Cricetulus griseus: one gene and its partners. The protein of the gene in region 1 interacts with the protein of each later gene in a pairwise test. Links are inferred from orthologs where the notes say so. Each region holds a gene or a part of one and is shown in the gene's direction. Other genes may lie near its edges. The genes, in order: Id1, myoblast determination protein 1 and Myf5.

Evidence for each region.
Region 2: the proteins of Id1 (region 1) and myoblast determination protein 1 interact in a two-hybrid assay, tested with the Homo sapiens proteins (5 studies listed by BioGRID). The link is inferred for Cricetulus griseus from reciprocal best matches to the Homo sapiens genes ID1 and MYOD1.
Region 3: the proteins of Id1 (region 1) and Myf5 interact in binary tests that used the Homo sapiens proteins (3 or more experiments, as listed by UniProt). The link is inferred for Cricetulus griseus from reciprocal best matches to the Homo sapiens genes ID1 and MYF5.

What each region holds. Positions count from the first base shown.
Region 1 is NC_048599.1:27,271,213-27,274,435, reverse strand, and holds Id1 (DNA-binding protein inhibitor ID-1), read left to right. Parts: upstream 1-1,526; 5' UTR 1,527-1,620; coding exon 1,621-2,039; intron 2,040-2,276; coding exon 2,277-2,331; 3' UTR 2,332-2,707; downstream 2,708-3,223. UniProt on the Homo sapiens protein: Transcriptional regulator (lacking a basic DNA binding domain) which negatively regulates the basic helix-loop-helix (bHLH) transcription factors by forming heterodimers and inhibiting their DNA binding and transcriptional activity.
Region 2 is NC_048599.1:155,322,143-155,325,734, forward strand, and holds myoblast determination protein 1, read left to right. Parts: upstream 1-1,255; coding exon 1,256-1,882; intron 1,883-2,330; coding exon 2,331-2,409; intron 2,410-2,724; coding exon 2,725-2,978; downstream 2,979-3,592. UniProt on the Homo sapiens protein: Acts as a transcriptional activator that promotes transcription of muscle-specific target genes and plays a role in muscle differentiation. Together with MYF5 and MYOG, co-occupies muscle-specific gene promoter core region during myogenesis.
Region 3 is NW_023276806.1:147,625,979-147,629,688, forward strand, and holds Myf5 (myogenic factor 5), read left to right. Parts: upstream 1-1,070; coding exon 1,071-1,571; intron 1,572-2,322; coding exon 2,323-2,398; intron 2,399-2,941; coding exon 2,942-3,132; downstream 3,133-3,710.

The sequences.
Region 1 (3,223 bases):
TAACTTCACGTCTCAGACTCCCCTCCATCTTAAAGGGAGACATCCCCCCTGCCCCCCAAAAGGAAGACGTTTTCAGTATCGCTCCCAGTTCAATGGACCTACGTCCTGGTCCTAGGAACTTCACGTTCATTTTCTGGAAACTGAGTCTCGGAGACCAGAAGAAAAGAGGGCATGCTTTAAAATCTGTCTCAGAACATGACATGACAGAGCACACCTGTAATCTCAGTGTAGAAATCCAACTCATCTGGGGAGGGGCCTCGGTCGAGAGGGGTTTGGGGTGGAAGGGTGTGAGAAAACCACCAGAGCTGTGGGGCTGGGTGGAGGAGACTCAGCAGGTGTGGGGCGGGGAGGTAAGTTGACCCTTGGTCAGCGACCGCGCCCACAAGGAACGCATTCCCAGGCCTCCCGCCCAAGGTCTGCAGGTGACAGGCTCATGGGAGGGGGAAGAAGCGGAGAATGCTCCAGCCCAGTTTGCCGTCTCCATGACGACCGCCCGCGCGGCGCCAGCTTGACAGCCCGTCCGGGTTTTATGAATGGGTGACGTCACGGGCCTGGCGTCTAACGGTCTGAGCTGCTTGTTCAGACGCTGACACAGACCAGCCCGGGAAAGGAAAGGGAGGGGGCCATCTCCGCAGCTGCTGCTCTGTGGGAGGGAGAGCTTGCTCCGAGGGCTTCAAGAAAAAAAAAGAAAAAAAAAAAACTAGCAAAAAGAGAGAAAAAATTTTAAAAATCACCAGCTGCTGCAGATTTGGAACCTTTCTGCAAGAGGCTGCAAATCCAGGGTAGAATTGGGGGCTGTAGTCTCACTCCACAGCGACCCTTCTATCTAGTACAGGTCTGACTCTGTCCTCCACTTTAAAGATGTTCCTGGTATCGTTCCCAGTGGACTTAGGTCCTGGTCCTAGGGATTTTACAGTTCATTTTCTGGAAATTGAGATCAGCCCCGGAGATCAGACTAAGCTAGGGCTCTTAATATGATGTGGCGGGGCACACCTGTAATCTCAGCCTGGGAGGTGGAGCAATGAGCATCATAGCAAATTCTGAGTCCAGCCTGGGTTACCTGAGATTAAGTTTCAAGACGAACAAAACCAACCAAACAAACAAAACCCTCATAGGTAAATAAATACAAAAATAAAATTCAACTTTGATAAATGGAGATCATAATCCAATCTTCCGATTGCATCTGGAAACCCTGGGCTAGTCCTTAGCTACTGACCTCCCCAGAGCCAGCCATTTCTCCGTTTGTTTATCTCATCTGCAAAATGGACCTGGAGAAGCGAGAAAAAGACCACGAGATTCCTGGGGTCTTTTTGTTATCTGCAAAATTGGCTTAGCCGTTCTGCCCAGGGCCTCCCATCCTTTCTGTTCTTAAGCCCACCAACCACCTTTCCATAAGCCTAAGGGTGCGCCGAGCTGGGACCCGAGGGCGCGCTAGACCACGCCTCCAGACAAACCATTGGTTGCTTTTGAACGTCCTGAACCCGCCCTGGGTCCGCCCTTATAAAAGACTGGCTCCAGCGCGAGCCCTCTCATTGTACAACCTTCCGGCAACTTCTGCGCGCTCTCCACCTACGCCCCCTTCGTAGGCTCCTCCGCGACTCTCCGCCTGTCCTCAAGATAATGAAGGTCGCCAGTGGTAGCACCGCGGCCACCGCGGGCCCCAGCTGCTCGCTGAAGGCGGGCAGGACGGCGGGCGGCGCGGGCGAGGTTGTGCTTGGCCTGTCCGAGCAGAGCGTAGCCATCTCGCGCTGCGCCGGGACGCGCCTTCCCGCCCTGCTGGACGAGCAGCAGGTGAACGTCCTGCTCTACGACATGAACGGCTGCTACTCCCGCCTCAAGGAACTGGTGCCCACCTTGCCTCAGAACCGCAAAGTGAGCAAGGTGGAGATCCTGCAGCACGTTATCGACTACATCAGGGACCTGCAGCTGGAGCTGAACTCGGAATCCGAAGTCGGGACAGCTGGAGGCCGGGGGCTGCCGGTTCGGGCTCCGCTCAGCACCCTGAATGGCGAGATCAGTGCCTTGGCGGCCGAGGTGAGGTCCGAGTCGAAACATTACATTATTCTCCTGTGCATAGGGAAACTGAGGCCATGGGGAGGGGTTAGCAGTATGTCTGCCTTACTTTTCGGGCGCATGGCTATTTAGGGACGCCTAATTGGGGGAGAAAAAAAACTGGCTTCTTCACCGTGGCCCTTAAGAGTGCAGAAGTGGGAACGCCTCTCCCCTTCTTGCCTTTCCATCCTGTCTCATTCCTTATCTCGCTCTGGTGTTCACAGGCAGCATGCGTTCCAGCCGACGATCGCATCTTGTGTCGCTGAAGCGGCGCACTGAGGACCAGATGGACTCCAGCCCTTCAGGAGGCAAGAGGAATAAAGTGCTCGCGGTTCCCCGGGAGAGCCCGGGGAAAGACTCTTGTCGCGGCCACCTTGGATCTGGTCACGGGGCTCAGAGGCTTGACCAGCAGAGGCTCGCCCTCTCCACCTTTCAGCCCCCCAGAGACTTGGGGAGGGGGTAGTTAACCAACCCCGTATGTTTCTATTTTTTCGAAAAGCAGACATTTTTTTTAAATGGTCACATTTCGTGCTTCTCAGATTTCTGAGGAAATGTTTCGTATTGTATATTACAATGATCACTGGCTAAGAATATTGTTTTACAATAGTTTTATGGGGGTGGGTTTTTTGTTGTTATTAAACAAATACTTTATATACGTTGTAGTGACTTCTTGGATGGGGGAGGGGTCTGTGGGCAGGAGTGACCTCTGACCATTTTCACAGCTGGTGTTGAGAAGCTAGGAATTGGAGGGGCACATCTGGACTGTCATTCTTTCCGACCTGAATGAGTGTTTCCGGTGTCTTTAATGTCTATTCTTTTCCTTCATCCCTGGCCATTTCCCTGTTCCCTGGTGTCATAAAATTAAATCCTCTAGACCTCTAGTAGGGCTTCTCTCAAAGTGGTGGCTGGGCCATCTGGATCACCCAGGGGGAGGAGGTTGTTAAAATGCAGATGGACCTGCTGGGTTGGCCTGCTCTGGGCTGGGGAATATTCATGCCATTCAAGTTGGAAAAACAGGTCACTGGACCATTCGATTCCTTGCCAAGGGCAGGGGTGTGTGTCTGTGTTGTGTGATGAGACCTTAGGCAAAGGAGCCTGCATAGGGTCAGATCTTGCCTGAAGCAGGACTTGTGTGGCCCCCCTTCCCCGCTGAGCCACCTTTTTCTGGATG
Region 2 (3,592 bases), about 130 Mb from region 1:
TGACATTTCCACACTCCCCTCCCTTTAGATTTTCAACCACGACCACAGTTACTCCTGGATACTGTCATTATCCCTGGATATGAAGTGGAAACAGACTTGGGAAGAGGTCACCTCCACAAAGTTATGCAAACTGCACTGTTGGTGAGGTCCTCAGGCCAGGTCCTGGCCATCATGACACTTAAGAAAGGCACTTCCTGGGGCTCGACTCAGAACAAGAGGACACAAAATTGCAGCAAACTGGCTTTCGTCTTAGCTGTAGAAACAGATCAACCCAGACCCCTGTGGCTCTCTAGATATCCACAGAAGGAATCCAGCTGGTTAAGTTGAGTGGAGCCTCTCTCCCTTCCTTCTTCGCTCGTTTCCTCCCTCCGTCCACCCTGATTTTGAGTAGAATGGCTTGAAGTTTTAATGCTGATCTCCCAACTACCGCAGAGACTGAACCGGGTTCCTAAGCTTCCTGAGGAAGATGGGCAAGACCAGGCGCTCTCTGGGCGGTGTCCAGATCCGCAATCAGCCAAATATCACTGCCACCAAGTCATTTGTCTCAGGCTTGCCCACTTAAACCTTTGGAGTCTCACTGTCTCTTGCTCACGTCGTCTTCGGCTCAACTTCTAAGGATGTGTCACCATTTCGCGGCTTCTTCTCTGGAGGTTCTTTGCCCTGTTGCCTTGTGACTCTCTACAAATCTCCCGCAATCTGATTTCTAATTCCTATTCTGTGCCTGGTTTCCCCACAAATCAGGAGACAGTGAGGTCCAAGGTCAGCGCTGTGGCTTCGCGGAGGCGCACTGGAGAGGCTTGGGCAGGCTGCATCTGGTAACCAAGTGCAAAGGAGGGCGGAGGGTGTTTGCCCGCCAGTGTCTGCCCTCCTCCCTGCCCCACCGCAGAGCCGCGGGAGGGGGCACTCCCTGGCCCCAGTGGCTACCCTGGGGACCCCACGCTCCGCCCTGCTGCACTCCTATTGGTTTAGGACACCCCCGCCCCCAGCCTCCCTTTCCAGCTCCCGGGCTTTTTAGGCTACCCTGGATAAATAGTCCTGGACGCCTGGCGCGAAGCTTGGGGCGAGGAAGTCCCAGGACGATTGCTTTCTTCGCCACAACTCCGACAGACCAGGGAGGGGAGGTAGAGGACAGCCTGTGTGCAGTCCAATCCTCAGCACTTTGTCATTGTACTGTCGGAGTTCAGGAGTGGCAGAAAGTGACTCTTGAGACTTGAGTTGAGCTAGAGGCAGGACCGAGAAGCCCAGGAGCTGGGATATGGAGTTATTGTCGCCGCCACTCCGGGACGTAGACTTGACAGGCCCCGACGGCTCTCTCTGCTCCTTTGCCACAGCCGACGACTTCTATGATGACCCGTGTTTCGACTCACCGGACCTGCGCTTTTTCGAGGACCTGGACCCGCGCCTGGTGCACGTGGGGACCCTCCTGAAACCGGAGGAGCACACACACTTCCCTACCACGGTGCACCCAGGCTCAGGTGCTCGCGAGGATGAGCATGTGCGCGCACCCAGTGGGCACCACCAGGCTGGTCGCTGCTTGCTGTGGGCCTGCAAAGCATGCAAGCGCAAGACCACCAACGCTGATCGCCGCAAGGCCGCCACCATGCGCGAGCGGCGCCGCCTGAGCAAAGTGAACGAGGCCTTCGAGACGCTCAAACGCTGCACGTCCAGCAACCCGAACCAACGGCTGCCCAAGGTGGAGATCCTGCGCAATGCCATCCGCTACATTGAAGGCCTGCAGGCTCTGCTGCGCGACCAGGACGCAGCACCCCCTGGCGCGGCTGCCTTCTACTCGCCCGGCCCGCTGCCCCCAGGCCGAGGCAGTGAGCACTACAGCGGCGACTCAGACGCTTCCAGCCCACGCTCCAACTGCTCAGATGGCATGGTAAGGCCGGGTCTCAGAAGAAGGCCAAGTGCAGGTGGCACCTGGGGAATCTGGAATGCTTTTGAGTCCGTTAGGGTTGGGGAAGTTCTTTAGACCCAGGTGTGCCTGGCATGTGACTGGGGTCTCTGGAGACCCTGGGCATCTGTGATTTGCCTAGTGGGGGTGGCATCAAAATACTGCTATGCAGACCACAGGACATACGTTTTCTCCCCAAATCCGTATCACCCAAATGTAGATTTGTTGTTGTTGTTCCTGGGTCACCATCCAGTCTCAGTTTGGCCCTGCATGCGATATATTTCAATGTTTGCTGGCTCCTACTTCCTAACTAGGGCTGACCCAGTCCTGGAACGCCCCCAGCTGAGACTAGGGGAGTGAGGGAGGGGCGGTGACAAGGAGCAGTGCTTGAGACGCCCCGAGGATCTGACTCCATCATTCTTGCTATTCGCAGATGGATTACACTGGCCCCCCGAGAGGCCCCCGGGGGCAGAATGGCTACGACGCCACCTACTACAGCGAGGCCTCCAGCGGTGGTGCGTATTCTCAGCTGTTCCCAGCTAGCAGCTGGGAATTGCCTTCCATGTCCCCCTTGAAGCTGTCCTTGCTCCCCAGGCTCAGTACCCCCCTCCCTGCCTCCATCACAAACACACTTGTATCTTGGGACTACGAAGGGGGCTGGTTAGGGGTTAAACAGTGTGCACCTTCCTCTTCTTTCTCCGTTCAGTCTGGCAAGTCCTCAGTTTCTCTTCTGCTCCAAAGCTCTGTGTTCTGATGGAGTGGGGAGAGAGTGTAAGAGACTTGAAGAGACTCAAGCTTGGAATACTAACCTTCCCCTCCCCCTATAGAGTCCAGGCCAAGGAAGAGTGCAGCCGTGTCGAGCCTCGACTGCCTATCCAGCATCGTGGAGCGCATCTCCACGGACAGCCCCGCTGCTCCTGCTCTGCTGCTGGCAGATGCATCTCCAGAATCTCCTCCAGGTCCTCCAGAAGGTGCATCCCCAAGCGACACAGAACAGGGGGCCCAGACCCCGTCGTCCCCTGATGCCTCCCTGCAGTGCCCTGTAGTCGCGAACGCCAATCCGACCTATCAGATGCTTTGAGAGGTCAGCTGCTGTAGGAGAGGGCATACCGCCTACACGCCTCGGGGGAGTGGGGGGTGGGAGGTCCTTCACACCCCCAAAAATGAAGCTTAAATGACACTCCTCCCAACTGTCCTTTCAAAGCCACACATCCAGAGGCTGGAAAAGGGGGAGCAGAAATCTGTCCCCACAGCGGTCCCCAAGGAAAGGACGCAGTCCATTTGTTGTCGTTGTTTTATTTTATTTTTTTCATGTGACTCACAAAAGACAGCCACTTGCTGCCCCTAACCGCCAGGGTTTCTTCCTTTCTCGCAGCTCCTCGAGCAGGGCTGAGCCCGGTACACCTAGGCCCTGCTCTCCAGGTCCCTGTTGTTTGTGGAGACATGATCCCCATTTTCCGGAGGCCCCCTAATATATGCTCTTTCCCACAGCCTGCGGGAAAGCCGCTCCAGTCCCGTGTGTAACAGGTGTAACCATACCCCACCTTCCCCTGTCCCAAGCGCGGTTCAGGACCACTTATTTTTTTTATATAAGACTTTTTGTAATCTATTCGTGTAAATAAGAGTTGCTTGGCCAGAGCCAGAGCCCCCTGGGCTGTATTTATCTCTGAGGCATGCTGTGTAGTGAAACAAGAA
Region 3 (3,710 bases), on another chromosome or scaffold:
AGCCTGGCTGGCTGTTTAGTCTGTAGAAGTGATAGGGCGGAGCAGAAAGCTCTGGAGAAAGTACACTCCATTCCACACTGGGAAGGGAGTTTTCTGTGAGAAACTGGACTTCTGCTCATCCACAGGCGTGGGAATTGCCCGGTGCAGGTACTAGACTAGTGCAGGCACAGAGAGAAAGGCAACAGACAAGTGTGTGAGGAAGGAAGAAAGGAAGAAAGCTAGGAGGGGTGGGATGCTGGCGGATCACCTGGTCCACCTGAAGACATTTCCTTTTTAAGCAGAAGAAAATAATATGATGTCTGACAGAGCCAGGTCTGAAAAGGAAGCCCTGGAGAATGTCGAACCCATGGAATGACCAACTCATGCTAACTTTTCTCCTTGAGTCTTTACCAAACAGATTTTGAAACAGGACATTCTAGGTTCTCTCCAGAAATGAAAATGTCACTTCATTTTTTAAAACAACAATTATAAGGGTACAAACTGACAAAAATCTCTTTAGGTAAAGAAAATGAGATACAAGCTCTCCCCCACACCCACTCCCCAGAATAAATCAGTGACTCCTCCAGCCTCTAGGTTTCCTTTGGCCTCAGATGGAAATACAGAATTTAATGCCTTATTACGATGCTGCTGCTGATTGCGTTAAAGTACGATCGATTTCAAGACACCCGCCTCCTTAAGTGATCCCCAGGTTTGGAATAGCCAGAAGGCCACTGAGCAGGCTGGGCTGTAGTAAAAATCATTTGTGTCGAAGTAGCCAGTAAACAGCAAATTGTCTTTAGAAGAAAGGCAGAGAGAGGTTTGCCTAGCCAACCCCTGTGGGGGTTGTGGGGGGATATGCTAATAATGCCCAGCTACAGGGACCAGCCTCCCTTCCCATCCCCCAAGAACATATAAAGAGCCCCAACCTCAGGCACCAACCCACCCTGACCAACAGGCGTCTGTCCTTGTTAATTACAGAGAAACAATCCCAAACGCGGAACTCTGCCTGGGATTTGCTGGCCTGCAGCAACCAGGGACACCCGTTTCTCCTGCTTTGCTGAATCCAGGTGTCCCACCTGCCTCTCTGAAGCATGGACATGATGGATGGCTGCCAGTTCTCACCTTCTGAATACTTCTACGAGAGCTCCTGCATCCCCTCCCCTGAGGGTGAGTTTGGGGACCAGTTTGAACCAAGAGTGACTGCCTTCGGAGGGCACAAAGCTGAGCTGCAGGGCTCCGATGATGATGAGCACGTGCGAGCACCTAGTGGCCACCACCAGGCTGGCCACTGCCTCATGTGGGCCTGCAAAGCCTGCAAGAGGAAGTCCACCACAATGGACCGACGCAAGGCCGCCACCATGCGCGAGCGCAGACGCCTAAAGAAGGTCAACCAAGCTTTCGAAACGCTCAAGAGGTGCACCACGAGCAACCCCAACCAGAGGCTCCCCAAAGTGGAGATCCTTAGGAATGCCATCCGCTACATCGAGAGCCTGCAGGAGCTACTGAGGGAACAGGTGGAGAACTATTACAGCCTGCCCGGACAGAGCTGCTCAGAGCCCACCAGCCCCACCTCCAACTGCTCTGATGGCATGGTAAGCCACAACTCCAAGACCCACTCTCTCCTGCCCTAGTTTATGTGAAAAGCCCTCCTCGTACCTCATCTAAACCAGGTACAGTGGAACCGTTGATTTCAGAGATGTGTTCACAGTAAGATGCAAAGAAAAACTGTTACACAAGATTTTCCTTTGATTTCCCAGCTGGGTGTATATGCATGTACATGGGTAGTAAAAAGGTTGTCATGTACCCCAGGTTAATTTAAATGATTAAGTGATTTTGCTGTTGTTTCCAAAATATATCAGTGTGGACCCTGACATACAGCTAATCCCAAGTTTATAACTCAGGGAAGAATTAGAATTCCTAGCATGGTCCCGATCCCTGCTCTGAGGCCAAGCTGGAAAGAAATGTTAGTACATTTTCTTTCCAAAGGTATCTGGTCCAGTGTTCCAGATTTTAACGCCGTTTTGCCCTGGGAAAGTGCTCTCTCCCACAATTAGTCCGGCTTCCTTCTATTGCAATCCATTTTGCATGGTTATAACACAGTGCACACTGCTGCAGGATTCCATCGTCTTCCCTCTTCTTCCAGCATAGAGCCTGACCTTGGTGCCCTGGTGATTTGGAGGCAGCAGCCCCTTCCTATTTCAGTGTTGTAGCCGGGGGGTGGGGACGGGGGAACGACTAGGAGCAGTCAGTTTACCGAGCTGGGGTCCGGTACTATATCACCCCAGGTCTGGACGTCTTTTGCCAAAGGCTTGACAATACAATTCTGTGTGTTGCGTGTTACAGCCTGAATGTAACAGTCCTGTCTGGTCCCGAAAGAACAGCAGCTTTGACAATGTCTACTGTCCTGAAGTGTCGAACGGTAAGAACTGATGACTTCCGACACATTTAAAGATCTTTTCAGTCTCGCAATTCAGCCTGTCTTCGCAGTGTCTGAACTTCCAAGTAGTACTGGGAGGAATGGAAGTGATGGCTGTCATGGGAAGGCGTTGACAGAATAAACACATTTTCTGCTCCAGATTACCCTAAGAGACAAACAGATAGACCACATGCATGCCCGAATGCACACACACACACACACACACACACACACACACACACACACACACACACACACACACTTCTTCTTCTTCTTCTTCTTCTTCTTCTTCTTCTTCTTCTTCTTCTTCTTCTTCTTCTTCTTCTTCTTCTTCTTCTTCTTCTTCTTTCTTCTTCTTCTTCTTCCCTCCACACCTCCACCCTCAGGAGTTGCTAGATATTTGCTGCAAATTCTTACATCAGGCTCTGTGATCACCTGACCCATGCTGTCAAAGGTGCTGACCTACAGTTTAAAGGGCAGCATAAGCAAGCCTGTCTGTGTGGGGATAACATTTTTTTCAAACCACTTTTCTCCTTGTACTGTTAGCCTGTGCTGCAGATAAAAGCTCCTTATCCAGCTTGGATTGTTTGTCCAGCATAGTGGATCGGATCACGACGGCAGAGAGAACCGAGCTGTCTCTTCAGGACACAGCATCTCTCTCTCCAGCTGCCAGCAGCAATTCACAGCCTGCAACCCCAGGAGCCTCCAGTTCCAGACTTATCTATCATGTATTATGAACTAACACACGGGAGGAATGATGCCCCCACGTGTCCGAAGTGATGGCAAATTGTGGATAATATGTGCTTTTCAGTTGTAAATATCATCTTGACACTTTATAAGAAAATGTATTTAACTGAAAGTCATATTTGCAATGATGACTTCTCCTCTGCCCATTCTTTGTCTTCATTTGTCTTTGTCTTCATTTTCAGCTTCCCTTTGTTTTAGATTCACGGTTCCAAAAATATTTTTCTGGTGGTGGCAATTAATTGACAGTTGCTTATAGTAATTCTTAATTTATACATCTATAATGTAAATATTGCTCATCAAAATAACTTTCATATTTAGATCTCTATTTTTGTCTTCAAAAACATTTTAATAGCTTGGAATCCATTACAGGGAATTCAAAATATATTTAACTTTTGCTTTTCTCTTTAATCTTTTGTTTATATTACATCAAATGAAAATATAACAGTGCTGTCAATGGTATATATTTTCATCTTTTCTTGTAAGAAATTCTTCTTTTCAATGTAAGCAATAAATAGTACATTGTGGATAATTTCAAAATATAAATTTTTTGAATTCCACTATAAATAAA